Lonchura striata: one gene and its partner. The protein of the gene in region 2 purifies or fractionates together with the protein of the main gene of each other region. This does not show direct contact. Links are inferred from orthologs where the notes say so. Each region holds a gene or a part of one and is shown on either strand. Other genes may lie near its edges.

Region 1 (7,742 bases), on a different chromosome or scaffold from region 2:
TTCTCAATAGCAGGACACACAGCCACAACCATGAACACTGTTCTTAAGGGACCTAACAGCAACAAAAAAAAAACAGTATTCATCCTGAGTTTTTATTTAAATATCTGAATATTGCTATGTAGATCGATGTAGTTGTTTAAATTTATGATCTATTTTTTTTTTTTATTTTGTCCACCCAGCCCATTCCTGCAGACAACACCAAACAAGTTGTCCCAGCTCCTCAGAGCTGTTTTTCCATGACAAGATATTAATTAGGAGGGACAAAAAGAACAAGGGAAATTGGAACAACACCATCTGAAAGCTGATTTTCCAATCAATATCCTATGCCTGTCACACAGAAGACACTTCCAGGCTAGTTGCACCAATCTTTTGAATTACACCACCAAGGCTTCCACAAAATCTTTAAATGGCATTTTTCCCACCACAGCAAATTGTTCACCTGAAATAATTTCAATATGGCACATGATCAGTGAAAATTCCCTTTTAAATAGCTGAGACTGTTGGAAACCTCACTTGGAAATTAAATGTCTAGGGTAAATAAAGAGCAATATTTGGAAAAATCTGCAATGGGTTTCAGGTGGGAATTCAGCAGAAACTATAAAAGTAGAAAGAAATATTAATAAATCGATCATAAAAGGGCATGTTTGCAAACAAAACTACACTAGAGGAAGCTAGATGACCACCTGAAAGCAGGTTGGCTATGGTGTGAACAAGGACTGACACCAGGAGTCTCCCTGGACTTTACAGAATATTTTCAATTTGAGTTTCTAGTTCACACTGAGCATCCAGAAGTGAGTCCAAGCAGGCAAAACAACCCAGTTTTTGCCTTCTATTTCTGACACATACACACACAAAAAAAATAGTTCAAAAGTATTACTGCCTTTAAAGTCTTCAGTCATGTTGACCATCAAAGGCTGTAATGGTCAGTGATTATACTAAAAACTTATTTCTCTTTACAAACATACTTCAATGTAACATCATTCAAACACTTCAAAGTGAAGCTATCCTAGGTAATAAGGCTATTTTTAGAATTGTCTTTATGCACTTAATGATTTTTTTAAATCCAAAACCTTGACATGTGATGGAAGGAAAACAACCTCAGTGAATTTAATTCAGTAACGGGAATAAAATGTATGAACATGCTATGAGAAAATGAGCACACAGCAAGATGCTGACTACCTGTTAGACAGATGGTTAAATCTGCAACTGAATGAACCTTTACAGGCACTAAACAACCTAGAGAAACATCAGAACAAATTCAGAATCAACACATTGCCTGAAGTCCACAGGACACAAAAAAGTCAGATGAGAGAACCCACTTCAAACTTACACCTGCTTGTGCAGGTAACATCCCAGGTAAATTTTGGTGATTATGAATCTGAAACCACGATTTCACAGAGATCTGTCAATTTACAGTGACCAAATCTACCACTGCTCTGTAGAAGACATAAACAGCATTTTCAGTGGATTGTTGTAGGCCTCAGCTTCAAGTCCTCTGCTTCAGTAAACCACTGCCTCAATTCCATGGGATAAATGCATTTTATACATGCACATGCTCCCACAGCAGCTGCAAAAAGTATCTCAAATGTTACCTCAAAATGTCATTTTAGAGAGGGGAAAAAAATCTGTTCATCCTCACCAAAGGAAAAAGCAAACCTGTCCCACACTCAGCAGAATAGCATGAATTTGGTGCTGAAACACAAGAGAATGAAACAGACCCCAAAACCAAGTCACCACATTGGGAAGGTGGGTGGTTTATAAAACCATATTTATAAGGAGGAACAGGTTCCTCATAACACTTCAGGAGTTTCATCACTGTGAAAATTCTACAGTGACGCCTTCATTTTACTGAGCTCTCGCAGCATCAAAGGTTATCCCCTCAACAACAAGAAGTTGTTGTCAAGGGAATAACAAACAGACAAAACAAAGCAAACACAAACAAAACAAAGCAAAGCAAAACAAACAAAAAAGGCTCCTGGAGGAAAAAAAAAAGGAATTCTTGGGCAGGTGCAGCTACAGAAAAGATGAATAGCTCTAAAAGGAGAAAACGTAGCACAGGAGCCAAAATTCAACAGAACAGTCTGGGCTCTCCCTATACAACACTAGAACTAACAGTAAGAGGGCCCTAATTAATAAACAGCCTCATTAAGGCGTTCTTTATATTATTACGGCTTCAGTAGCCAGTGGCTCACACCCTCGGGCGAGGCAACACCCGCTGGGAGCCGAGTACCAGCGAACAACCGAAAAGAACCACCAAAAACCACCAAAAGAACCAGTTGTTGCAGGGGTTTTTTGTATGTTTTTGTTTGTATGTGGGGTTTTTCTGTCGTTTTTAGTTTTTCGTGGGGGTTTTAAGTTGTTTTGGTTTTGCTTTTTTGGTTGGGCTGTTTCGGGTCTTTTTTTTGCTAGGTTTTTTTGTTTGTTTTTTTTTTTTCTTTTGTTTTTTTTGTGTTTTTTTTGGGGGGGATGGTTTTTTTTTTGTTTGTTTTGGTGGGGTTTTGGGGGGTTTTTTGTTGTTTTTTTTTTGTTTTTTCCTTTTTTGGGGGGGGTTTGGGGTTTGTTTGGGGTTTTTTTTTGTTGTTTTTTTGTTTGTTTGTTCGTTTGCTTTGGTTTGGTTTTTTGGGGGTTTTTTTGAGTTTTGGGGTTTTTCTGTTGGTTTTTTGTTTGTTTTTTTCACCCCAGCGTCTCACTATACACACACACACACACACACACACAGATATATATATATATATATATATATATATATATATATATATATATATATATAGTATATAGTATATAGAGAGAGAGAGAGAGAGAGAGCATATATATATATAGTATATATAAATAAATAAATATATATATATAGAGAGAGAGAGCACATATATATATATATATAGTACATATAAATAAATAAATAAATAAATAGATAGATGCGTGGCCCCCGTGGATCGGTGTAGGGTTGATCCCGTTGATCCCGGTTATCCCCACACCGGGACACACTCAAGGATCCACCTCCTCCCCTCAGTGTTGCGAGGGGTCAGTTCAGGGCTGATCCCGGTGATCCCGGTTATCCGCACACCGGGACACGGACCGTGCCCCGCTCCCCTCAGTGTTGTGAGGGGTCAGTTCAGGGTTGATCCCGGTTATCCCGATTATCCCCACATCGGGACATCCCCCCGCACTCCCTTCAGTCCCGCCCGTGCCGCGCGCGCGGGGCGGGCCGCCCGACCTACCTCCCGCGCCGCCACTTCCGCCTGCTCCGCGCCAACCAATCAACGCCGCGTCCGCCCGTATATCCCGCCCCTCCGCCGGCAGCGCCGACCAATCGCAGCGCCCCGCGGCGCCGCCAGCCAATGGCGGCCGCGCCCGCGCCCCGGCGCGCTGAGGGCGCGCGGTGCGCGCTTCCGCCCGTGGCGGCGGCCGGAAGGTGATGTGGCGGAGCGCGGCGCGATGGTAAGAGCGGGGCCCGCCCGGCCCTGCCCGCTCCGGGCCGGGCCCTCGCCGCTCCCCGGCCTCCCCCGGTGCCCAGCGGCGCCTCCCGGCCCGAGCGCCGCCCCCTCAGGTCGCTCACGGCGTGACCCGCGGCCCGCGGGAGCGGAGCCGCCTCAGGGCTTTGCTGGGAGTCGCGCGGGGCGGGTTTGCGTGACAGGGAAAAAAAAACCCGGTTTGCGTCTGTGCGGGGCCGGTGCGAGGTCGGTCAGGTGCTGGGCGTATCTCTCGCGGCCTCCTGACGTCACGTATTGTCCTGCGTGACGTCATGGTTGCGTTGTGTGACGTCATGCTCAGTGCAGTGCGCTGAGCTGCGTCATTGGCTGCTCTTCAGGGGTCATCAGAGGTCATCAGAGGCTCAGGTCCACTTATTCATGAAAACTGTGGATTATTTATAAAAATACATATTTTTTAAAAATATATATATATTACATTTTGTATTTTTATATTTTATCTATTTTATATATATATACCTTTATTTATACATATGTATGTATATATATGTATGTATATGTGTAGCATTTTTAACTATGTATGCATACATATATACATAGCCTTTATATTTATTAAAAAATTATATGTTTACAGCATATATATATATATAGCGGGTATATATATGGTACATACGATTTTTAAGAGTATAGATGTACATGCAATATAACAACATAAAAATGCATATTCTTAAATTTATTCATAGTTACATGAATAGCTAAGAGGTGTAAATACATAAAAACCAGATAAGTACATCTGGAAGATAATATCTTTGCTTATGTACGAGTTTATTATGTGTATAACAAATAAATGTGGATACAGAGATATTTATCTATATATTTATGGGGGTATGTAAATGTATAATTGAATATTTTAATAATTGTGTATTATATGTTATATAATACACATATATAACCAATATACCTTTTTCTATAATCCAGCCACATAAACACTGTGGGGTTTGTATATTTTTTTAATACATATATATGTATGTATGTATATATATATATTTATTTAAAATATATGTGTATAAATACATACATTTTTTATGTAAAGTTGGTCTAGAGGCAAATTGTTTTGGTTTTTTTTTTTTGTTTGTTTCCTCCCCATTTTTCCAGTCTCTGTGCAGGTAATACAAAATAAGGGTTTACATCTCTGTCACAATGAAATACTTTTTCTTAGTCAAGGTTTGTACATTAAATATTTATTTATCAACAACATTTATATGAGCAGAGCAGATACACAAATTTAAAATTAAAAGGAATAACTGAGTTAACTTAGGTTTTTTTCCTGTACAAAGTACATGTTTATCCATAACTTCAGCACAGAATATGTTTTAAAATGGGAAGAGATCTTGGTGGAACATTGGTGTTGCGCAGTGTAATGATTAAATGCAACTAATTACTTAACATTGTATTATTATGTCATTTATATTTTATCTATTTTATTAGTGATATATAAGAAATATATAACAATAACTTAAAAACAAAAGTAATGTTTAAATCTAAGAAGGTTATGGAAAGTGTATGAGATTCTGCTAAGATTATCTCCTCCACTTGTCTCTTTTCCTTGCTAGAGGTTACTCTGTGTGCCTCAAGGACCCTGAAGCAAGAAACTCTTGTAAGGATGGTTTGCTTATGATTTAATAGTGAAAATAAGTTCCTATAGCATTATTGTGATGTTTGAATTTCTTCAAGAGAGCAGCAATCCTCCAGGACTTTGTGTTGTCCATGATGCCACCTCTAATGTCAAGGCATTTCAGGGAAAAAAAAGGATAATTTTTGACCTCACATTTGACTGTGAGAGAGGAAACAGCTGCTGTGTGTCATGAAATTAAAGAGATTAGAGCTACATCTCTAATTTATTCTCTTTGTCCAAAGAGTAAGAGCTGCAGTTCTGGCATGCTAGCAGCACTCTGAATATTCTATATTCTATAATATTCTGAAGCATGATTTCCAAAGGACTTTATGCCTTGGAAACTTTTCAATCCATTGCTTTCCAAGATTCTTTACCACATCCTTTCTTACTAAGCAGATGAGAACATGAGCTGGGTGAAGGGCCAGTTGCTGCCAAACAGGAAAAAAAAATTATATATATGTATAAGCTTACTTTCACCTGTTTTTTCTTCTGTGTGAAAGCAGAAATTGTGGGATTTTTTTTCCTCTTCACTGCCAGTGGATAGGGAAAAAACTCATCATTTTGACTTAAAGCAAAACCTTCGCTATTTTAACTTAAAGCAGCTATGGAAACCAGTAGAAGCTTCTCAGTGGATTCCAAATGGGATGCACCAGGGATGCAGGGCTCCCTCATTTATTGAGGAGCAGAACCTGTATTGTTTCCTGACTTCCACAAATCAGTTTGCCCTGCCAGCTTTCAGGATTTTACACCTGAAACCTCGACAGAAGTTTTTGTGGTGGGCTTGAAAAGTTTGCCATGTGCATGGATGGAAAAAGGGAAGAAGCCAAAGGCAATATTGAAGTTAATGAGGAGCTTCTCCCCTCCTGAAGGGTGGTCTTCACTTTCCTTCGTAGCAGAAATGTGAAGTTAGAATTTGATGGTGGAGAAAATTCAAAAGAAGTACAGAAAACTTGACAAAAACGGCTTCTTCTCTGTCACCCTCTGGTTGGGGCTGATCCTGGCCCCGCATTACTACCCAAAAATTGACTTGGGAACTTTCCACAAGGACAAACATTTTGGTCTCAGTCTTTATTGCTCTCTTAGTGTGGTGTTTATAGAAGGAAGGGGAGTTGCTCATAGATCCAATTGTAAAAACATTCATTAGTAAATATTATTTAAAACCAAGCTGTTGGATATAAACATACCAGAATCCAAGACAGTGCTCTGAAAAAGGAGCTTTCAGGACTCTTCAAGTACAAAGTTTTGTGTTTGTCTTATTCAGAATTACAAGAATGAATCAATCTTCATTGAGATTTGCTAGCAGCTTTGTTTTATCATGACCTAAAGGTACATAGGTTTAAAAATGTCTTCTAGGTCACACTACAATCTTAGAGTGTCTTTGTATTGTGAATTTATTTCACCTGAAGTGTTCAGAGTAGATACTTCTATCATCTTAGAGGATGATGTGAAAGTACATTGTCAATGTTTTATGTCTGTGATTATTGAACTGAGGAAATTATTCTGTCAGGGTAAGATGGTCTCTTTTTGGAAGAGTAGGATGTAGTGAGTCTGCTTTAACAGATTTACCCAGAATCACTCTAGTTGTGAGAAACCATTTCTTTGCTGAGTGCCATAAAAAAATGAATGTCACAATTTAGTTTTTTGGTTGCTTGCAGCATTAGACACCATACACATTCATTGTAAGAGCTGCAGCACTGAATATGTTTTTCTGCTAATGCACAGAGCCAGGCGTTCAAACTCAACAAAAGTTTTTGATTTTCAACCTGGTGACTGTGGAAACAAGGTGGGAACAGCTGTGAAAAATATTACCTGTCTTCCAGATGCTAAATATTCAAACCATGCATGTGAACCTCTGCCAAACAAGAGACTTGCAGAGGTGCTGTGGACCTGCCCAGGGCCAAGGGACATGACTGATTTAGCAGAACTTGTCATTGTTTCTTAACTAAGTATATTTTTTCTTGGTATTTGTTCTTCATTTTTGAAAGAGATGGTTTGACTGAATGAGCAAAAAAAAAATTTTGGTAAATAGTACATGTAAAATATTTATAGTTCTGTTTTGCAGCTTTTAGGTAAATTAGAATATATCTTCTTTTTTGAGAAGTTAAGAGATTTTCCCATGGCCATGTGCAAATTCCTGTAGCATCTTCTGTTGCAAACTCCTTTTTTTGAACGCTGCTTTTATTATAGTAAGGATATCACCTGATTCCAAGAGTGCTTTAGTATGACCCTTACCTCTTCCATTCACACACAGAGGTTTTACTGTTTTTTCGGTTTTCAGTACTAAATTCGTGGTGAACTAAACAGTGTGGCATGCAAGTTCAGATAGGAGAGTTACTTAAAAAAAAATGGGTTATTTAAAATATTGCTTTTCTCTAATGGGGGAAGACAGGAGAAGAAAAATATCTCTATAAAAATTTAGAAGTGTATAATCTACAGAGAAGACCTGGGGGAAAAGTTACTGTAAGATTTTACTGGCATATCCACCATAATTCTTTGTTTAGTAAATATGTGGACATGCACACCTTTGTGCTACAGTGACCCCACTAAAAGACTTTAATAGTCACTTTGTTTTTCAGAGTAAGATATTTTGGTGAAATGCTGCATCTGCTAGCTGCTTGCAAAAGTCCAGTTTTCAAACT
Region 2 (8,396 bases):
AGGGTCCCGTCCAGGTCGAACCCCGCAATCTGGGGGGGTCCCCAAAAAACAGGAGGGGTCAGGGACAGTGGGGACTCCCCCGGGAACCCCAAATCCCAACCCAGACCCCCCCCCCCCAGGAATTCTGGGGGGTTTTCACCCACTTGAAGGGGTTGTTTGGGGGTTTTTGTGAGGGAAAAAGGGGTGCTTTGAGATTTGGGGGGGCTGAGGGGTCCTGGGAGGGGATTTGGGGGGATCTGAGGGGTCCTGGGAGGGGATTTGGGGGGTCTGAGAATGTTTGAGGGGTCCTGGGATGGGATTTGAGGGGTCTGAGTGCATTGAGGGATCTTGGGGTGGGATTTGGGGGGGTCTGAGGGGTCCTGGGAGGGGAATTGGGGGGTCTGAGTGCATTGAGTGGTCTTGGGGTGGGATTTGGGGGGGTCTGAGTAATCCTGGGGTGGGATTTGGGGGGGTCTGAGGGGTCTTGTGGTGGGATCTGGGGAGTCTGAGGGGTTCTGGGGTGGGATTTGGGGGCTCTGAGGTGTCTGGAGTGCGATTTGGGGAGATTTTGGGGGGCTCAGGGGTTTGTGGGCTGAAGTTTGGGGAGCCCCATGGGGGTTGGGGGTTTGAGGGGGGAATTTGGGGGGGTCTCTGAAATGGGGAGGGGGGGGGGGGCTGGGCACAGGACCCCCAAATCCCTCCCCCCAAAATCCCCCCCCCCCGCCCGTACCTTCGTGCTGGGCCGGAGCCCTGAGGGGGTGAAGATGAGGAGGGGTCCCAGTTTCTGCCACCCCCCCCGGGAGGGGCTTTGGGGGTCTCTGCGGGCCGGGGGGGGCTCCTCGGGGGGGCTGGCGGGGCGTTTTTTGGGGTGGGGGGTCCCCTCGAAGTGCAGCACCAGGGGGTACCTCCCGTTCACCAGCAGCAGCGTCTGCCCGGGGGCGAGGGTCCCGCAGCCCCCCCGGCCCAGCACCGAGCCCCCCACCGAGCTGGGGTTCACCCCACGCTGGGGAGGGAAGGGTTAAAGACCACTCCCCAAAAAAACCCACCCCAAAATCCCATAAATCCCACCCCAAAAAAAATGGGGTTCACCCCACGCTGGGGAGGGAAGGGTTAAAGACCCCTCCCCAAAAAAACCCACCCCAAAATCCCATAAATCCCACCCAAAAAAACTGGGGTACACCCCGCGCTGGGGAGGGAAGGGTTAAAGACCCCTCCCCAAAAAAACCCACCCCAAAATCCCATAAATCCCACCCAAAACCTGGGGTTCAACCCACACTGGGGAGGAAAGGGTTAAAGACGCCTCCCCAAAAAACCCAGCCCAAAATGAGCCCCAAAATCCCATAAATCCCCCCCACGACCCCCCAAAACCCCTCCAAGCACCCCCCAAATCCCCCCCAGGACCCCCCAAATCCCCCCCAGGACCCCCAAAACCCCTCCCAGGACCCCCCACATTCCCCGCAGGACTCCCCAAATCCCTCCCAGGACCCCCCAAAACTCCTCCAAGCACCCCCAAAACCCCTCTAGGACCCCCCAGATCCCCCCAGGACCCCCCAAAACCCCTTTAAGCACCCCCAAAATCCTACCAAGACCACCCAAAACCCCCCAGGACCCCCCAAAACCCCTCCCAGGACCCCCTAACCCCACCCAGGATCCCCCAATCCCCCCCAGGTCTCCCCAAATCCACCCCAGGACCCCCCAAAACCCTCCCCAGGACCCCCCAAAACCCTCCCCAGGACCCCCCAAATCCCCCCCAGGACCCTCCAAAACCCCCCAGGACCCTCCAAATCCCTCCCAGGACCCCGCAAAACTCCTCCAAGCACCCCCAAAACCCCTCTAGGACCCCCCCAAATCCCCCCAGGACCCCCAAAAACCCCTTTAAGCACCCCCAAAATCCCACTAAGACCACCCAAAAACCCCCAGGACCCCCCAAAACCCCTCCCAGAACCCCCCAAACCCCTCCCAGGACCCCCAAACCCCTCCCAGGACCCCCCAAATCCCCCCCAGGACCCCCCAAATCCCCCCCAGGTCCCCCCAAAACCATCCCCAGGACCCTCCAAAACCCCCCAGGACCCCCCAAATCCCCCCCAGGTGCCCCCACCTGTGTGACCCGGGCCGTGCCCTCGGCGTAGTTGGCCACGATCTCCACTGTGGGGAGGGGGCAGATTTGGGGATCCCCCCTGAGCCCCCCAAAATTCGGGGAGGGGGAACCCACAAAAGTGTCCCCAGAGCCTGGAGGGGGGTTTGGGGGGGATTTGGGGGGTCCTGAAGGTGAAAGTTGGGGGTTCTGAGAATGAAATTTGGGGGTTTTGGGGGTGAATTTGGGGATTCTGGGGGGGGTGAATATTTAGAGGTCCTAGGGGGAAACTTTGGAGGTCTTGGGGGGCAAAATTTGAGGGTCCCAGAACGTTAAATCTGGGGGTTCTGGGGGGCGACTTTGGGGCTTTTGGGGGGTAAAATTTGGGGGTCTTGGGAGTTGAATTTGGGGGTCCTGAGGGGGAAATTTGGGGATTATGGGGTGAAATTTGGGGGTTCTGGGGGTGAAATTTGGGGATCACATGGGCTGCAACTTGAGAGTCTTTGGGAGAAATTTGGGGATCATGGGGGTGAAACTTGGGGGTCCTGGGGTGGAATTTAGGGGTCCCAGAGGGGGAATTTAGGGGTCGTGGGGGGGGGATATTTAGGAGACCTGGGGGGGAAAATTTGGGGGTCTTGGGTGGGAATATTTGGGAGTCCTGGGGGTGAATTTGGGGGTCCCAGAGGGTGAATTTGAGGGTCCTGGGGGGAGAATTTGGGCGGTGAATTTTGGGGTCCTGACGGGGAATTTGTGGCACCTGGGGGGTGAATATTTACAGGTCCTGGGGGAGAATTTGGAAGTGAATTTGAGAGTCCTGAAGGTGAATTTGGGGGTCCTGGGAGGTGAATTCGGAGGTGAATTTGGGGGTCCTGGGGCGGGAATATTTGGGGGTCCTGAGAGTGAATTTGGGGGTCCTGGGGCAGGAAACGTGGGGGTTCTGAGGGTAAATTTGGGAGCCCTGGGGGAGGAATATTTGGGGGTCCTGAGGGTAAATTTGCAGGGTGAATTTGGGGGTCCTGGGAGGTGAATTTGGGGCTCCCGTGGGCAGAGGGCACGGCGGGTCCTGGGAGGGTCCTGAGGGGGTCCCGGGGAGGTTCTGAGGGGGTCCTGAGGGGGTCCCGCTGGCTCTGAGGGGGTCCCGGTTCGGGTTCGGGTCCCGGGAGGTCCCGGGGGGGTTCCCCGCACCCACCCTGCTGCCGGGAGCACTTGCGGTCGGTGACGCCGGTGAGCGGCCCGCGGCCCAGCAGCACGGGCTGCCCGTCGGGCAGCGGCACGGGCCCGGCCAGGCCGCGCAGCTCGGCCCGCATGGCGGCGGCGGCGGGACCCGAACCGGCACCGGGACCCGAACCGGGAGCGGCGCCGGAGCCGCCCCGGCCCCGCCGCCTCCTCCCGGCGCCGTGACGTCACTTCCGCCACGCAGCCCCGCCCCTTTGCTCCGTTCCCGCCTTTTTTTGCCCTTGCACGCTGCAAAGCCACGCCCCTTTGTTCCTAAGACACGCCCCTTTATTTCTAAGCCACGCCCCCTCAGGGCCGCGCCTCTTTTGGCGCCTGCGAGGCGACTTCCGGTGCTGCTACGCCGCCGCTTCCGGTGGGTGGAGTGGCATCGCGCCCCCTGGCGGTGGAGGACTGGGTGGGTCCTCCAAGGGTGGGTGGGAGAATGGGAGGGGACTGGGATGGACTGGGAGGGACTGGGATGGACTGGGAGGGGTTTGAGGGGCACTGGGAGGGGTTTGGGGGTCGCTGGGAGGCACTGGGAGGGGACTGGGAGAGGTTTGGGGGTCACTGGGAAGGACTGGTTTGGACTGGGAGGGGTTTGAGTGGCACTGGGAGGGGTTTGGGGGTCGCTGGGAGGGGACTGGGAGGGGCTGGGAGAGGTCTGGGGGGCACTGGGATGGACTGGGAGGAACTGGGAGGGGTTTGAGGGGTACTGGGAGGGACTGGTTTGGACTGGGAGGGGTTTGGGGGGCACTGGGAGGGACTGGGAGGGGTTTGGGGGCACTGGGAGGGGACTGGGAGGGGCTGGGAGAGGTCTGGGGGGGACTGGGAGGGGTTTGGGGGTCACTGGGAGGGGTTTGAGGGGACTGGGAGAGGTCTGGGGGTCACTGGGAGGGGACTGGTTCGGACTGGAAGAGGCTACCTGGGGGGGTCACCCCTCCCCACCCCAAGCTGGGACCCCAAAATACGAACCTGCTGACTCAGCATGACCCCCCCGTGACCCCCCCGTGACCCCCCCACGACCCCCGCTGTGCCACCAAGTGTCACCTTTATTGCCGGGGTGGGAATGGCGGGGGTCAGCAGGGGTGGCCTCGGTGGCCTCGGTGTCCCCTGTGGGTCCCGAGGTGGCCTCGGTGTCCCCATGGAGCTCTTGTACCCCCCCCCCACCCCCCAGTTTGGCTCTGTTCGCCCCAGTTCATCCCAGTGCCCCCCCCCAGTTCGTTGTGGTGCACCCCCAGTTCATCCCAGTGCACTCCCAGTTCGTCCTGGTGCACTCCCAGTTCATCCCAGGGCTCCCCAGTTTGTTCTGGTGCACCCCCAGTTCATTATGGTGCACTCCCAGTTCATCCCAGTTCATCCCAGCGTGCCCCAGTTTGCCCTGGTGCACTCCCAGTTCATCCAGGTGTGCCCCAGTTTGCTCTGGTGCATTCCCAGTTCATCCCAGTGCCCCCCAGTTCATCCAGGTGCACTCCCAGTTCATCCCAGTGCGCCCCAGTTTGCTCTGGTGCATTCCCAGTTCATCCTGGTGCACTCCCAGTCCATGCTGGTGCATTCCCAGATTGTCACAGTGTCCCCCAGTTTGTTCTGGTGCACTCCCAGTTCATCCTCACTCGTTCCAGTTCATCCAGGTGCACTCCCAGTCCATCCCAGTGCACTCTCAATTCATCCAGGTGCACTCCCAGTCCATCCCAGTCCATCCAGGTGCACTCCCAGTGCCTCCCAGTCCATACTGGTGCACTCCCAGTCCATGCTGGTGCACTCCCAGTGCATCCCAGTCCATCCTGGTGCACCCCAATCCATCCAGGTGCACTCCCAGTCCATCCCAGTCCATCCAGGTGCACTCCCAGTGCCTCCCAGTCCATACTGGTGCACTCCCAGTCCATACTGGTGCACTCCCAGTCCATGCTGGTGCACTCCCAGTGCATCCCAGTCCATCCTGGTGCATCCCAGTCCATCCAGGTGCACTCCCAGTCCATCCCAGTCCATCCAGATGAACTCCCAGTGCCTCCCAGTCCATCCAGGTGCACTTCCAGTTCATTCCAGTTCATCCCAGTGCATTCCAGTCCATCCCAGTCCATCCAGATGCACTCCCAGTGCCTCCCAGTTCATTCAGGTGCACTCCCAGTGCACCCCAGTCCATCCAGGTGCACTCCCAGTCCATCCCAGTCCATCCAGATGCACTCCCAGTGCCTCCCAGTTCCTCCCAGTCCATCCCAGCCCGCCCCCCACCCCGCCGCCCCGCCTTGTCACACCTCGGTCACCAGCCTGCCCCCGGCCCAGCCCTTCTGGCCGCCGGCCTCGCCGTCCACGCCCCAGCCCGGCCCCTGCCCGGCGCCCGCCTTGTCCTCGGCGTCGCCGGCGGGCTCGGGGTGGTGCGGGCAGGGCGCGGCGGGCACCACGGCGCCGCTCTCCTCGCCGCGCAGCTCGCGCCGGTAGAAGTAGGAGAAGTTGGAGACGATGACGGGCACGGGCAGCGAGATGGTCAACACGCCCGCGATGGCGCACAGCGAGCCCACCAGCTTGCCGCCCACCGTCACCGGCGCCATGTCCCCGTAACCCACCGTGGTCATGGTGACCACCGCCCACCAGAACGCCTGCGGGATGGAGGTGAAGGCCGTGGCCGCGTCTTCGGCCTCGGCGAAGTAGACGGCGCTGGAGAAGAGCACGACGCCGATGAGGAGGAAGAAGATGAGCAGGCCCAGCTCCCTCATGCTGGCCTTGAGGGTCTGGCCCAGGATCTGCAGGCCGGTGGAGTGGCGGGACAGTTTGAAGACGCGGAAGACGCGCACCAGGCGGATGACGCGCAGCACGGCCAGCGACATGGCGGGCTGGCCGATGCCGCGCTGCCGCGCCAGCTCGGTGCCCAGCGCGATGAAGTACGGCGCGATGGCCGCCAGGTCGATGAGGTTCATGGCGCTGCGGAAGAAGGCCGCCTTGCTGGGGCTGGCCACCAGCCGCACCAGCAGCTCCAGCGAGAACCAGCAGATGCAGACGGTCTCCACCAGGAAGAAGGGGTCGGTCAGGCCGGAGCGGTGGGGAGGGGGCGTGGGGGTGGTGGTGTTGGTGGGGGTGGGCGAGGGGGGCTGTGGGGAGAGAGGAGAGAGGTGGGGGGTGAGATGGAGGTGGGGGAAACGCCCGAATCCGGCAGCCGGAACCCCAAAGTCAATGCCCAGAATGGGTTAATGGGGGTGGAGACCACCCAAACCCCAGATCCACCACCCAAAATGGGTTAAGGGGGGCTGGAGACCCCCAAAATGGGTTAACAGGGGTTGGAGACCACCCAGATCCCCAGATCCACCACCCAAAATGGGTTAACAGGGGTTGGAGACCACCCAGATCCCCAGATCCACCTCCCAAAATGGGTTAACGGGGGTTGGAGACCACCCAAACCCCAGATCCACCACCCAAAATGGGTTAAGGGGGGCTGGTGACCACCCAAACCCCAGATCCACCACCCAAAATGGGTTAATGGGGGTTGGAGACCACCCAAACCCCAGATCCACCACCTAAAATGGGTTAAGGGGGGCTGGAGACCCCCAAAATGGGTTAACAGGGGTTGGAGACCACCCAGATCCCCAGATCCACCACCCAAAATGGGTTAAGGGGGGCTGGAGACCACCCAAACCCCAGATCCACCTCCCAAAATGGGTTAACGGGGGTTGGAGACCACCCAAACCCCAGATCCACCTCCCAAAATGGGTTAAGGGGGGTTGGAGACCACCCAAACCCTAGATCCACCTCCCAAAATGGGTTAACGGGGGTTGGAGACCACCCAAACCCAGATCCACCTCCCAAAATGGGTTAAGGGGGGCTGGAGACCCCAAAATGGGTTAACGGGGGTTGGAGACCACCCAAACCCCAGATCCACCTCCCAAAATGGGTTAATGGGGGTTGGAGACCACCCAAACCCCAAAGTGACCGCCCAGAGGGGGTTAACAGGAGTTGGAGACCCCAAAAATAGGTTAATGGGGGTTGGAGACCACCCAGACCCCAAAGTGACCACCCACCCACCCACTGTGGGTCAGCGGGGTTGGAGGATGAAGATGAGGATGATGATGAGGATGAGGATGAGGATGAGGAGGATGATGATGATGATGATGATGATGATGATGATGATGATGATGATGATGAAGAGAACGCTGATGAATATGAGGGTGAACACAAGGGTGGTGGCAACAGGGACACTGAAGATGATGAGGATGATGAGGATGATGAGGATGAAGATGGCCATGATGAGGACACTGAAAATGATGAGGATGATGAGGACGGTAACAGTGACACCAAGGACAATGAAGATGAAGGTAGCCATGATGAGGATGATGAAGATGAGGATGAGGATGGTGACAATGACACTGAGGATGATGAGGATGATGAGGATGATGAGGAGGAAGATGTGAAGATGGCCATGATGAGGACACTGAAGATGAGGATGAGGATGGTGACCATGACACTGAGGACGATGAAGATGAGGATGTCCACAATGAGGACACTGAAGATGAGGATGGTGACCATGACACTGGGGATGATGAGGATGATGAGGACGGTGATAATGACATTGAGGATGAGGATGATGAAGATGGTGACCACGACACCGATGATGAGAATGATAAGGATGAGGATGTTGTCAATGACACCAATGATGATGATGATGACGATGATGGTGACAATGACACCAAGGACGATGAAGATGAGGATGTCCACAATGAGGACACTGAAGATGAGGATGATGAAGATGATGTCAGTGACACCGAGGACGATGAGGATGAAGATGATGAAGATGATGACAAGGACCCCGACAATGAGGATGATGAGGATGAGGATGGTGACAATGATGCTGATGAAGAAGATGGTGACAACTGCACCAATGATGAAAATGATGAAGGTGACAATGACACCAACGATGAAGATGATGAAGATGGTGACAATGACACCGACAACGAGAATGATGAGAATGAGGATGGTGACAGTGACACCAATGATGAAGATGGTGACAATGACACCAACGATGAAGATGATGAAGATGGTGACAACGACACCGACAATGAGGATGAAGATGACAATGACAGTGACGATGAAGATGATGAAGATAAAAATGACACTGATGACGAAGTTGATGAGGATGGTGACA

Evidence for each region.
Region 1: the proteins of PNKP (region 2) and XRCC4 purify together in Homo sapiens (co-immunoprecipitation; 5 studies listed by BioGRID and IntAct, counting the BioPlex papers as one, with this or other methods). This does not show direct contact. The link is inferred for Lonchura striata from reciprocal best matches to the Homo sapiens genes PNKP and XRCC4.

Annotation. Positions count from the first base shown.
Region 1 is NC_134642.1:85,602,907-85,610,648, forward strand, and holds the start of XRCC4 (DNA repair protein XRCC4), read right to left. Parts: upstream 3,241-7,742; 5' UTR 3,219-3,240; intron 1-3,218.
Region 2 is NC_134640.1:2,119,047-2,127,442, forward strand, and holds the start of PNKP (bifunctional polynucleotide phosphatase/kinase), read right to left. Parts: upstream 3,361-8,396; coding exon 3,243-3,360; intron 2,125-3,242; coding exon 2,078-2,124; intron 983-2,077; coding exon 710-982; intron 30-709; coding exon 1-29. Other genes in the region: KCNA7 (potassium voltage-gated channel subfamily A member 7), read right to left, coding at 5,515-6,289. UniProt on the Homo sapiens protein: Plays a key role in the repair of DNA damage, functioning as part of both the non-homologous end-joining (NHEJ) and base excision repair (BER) pathways.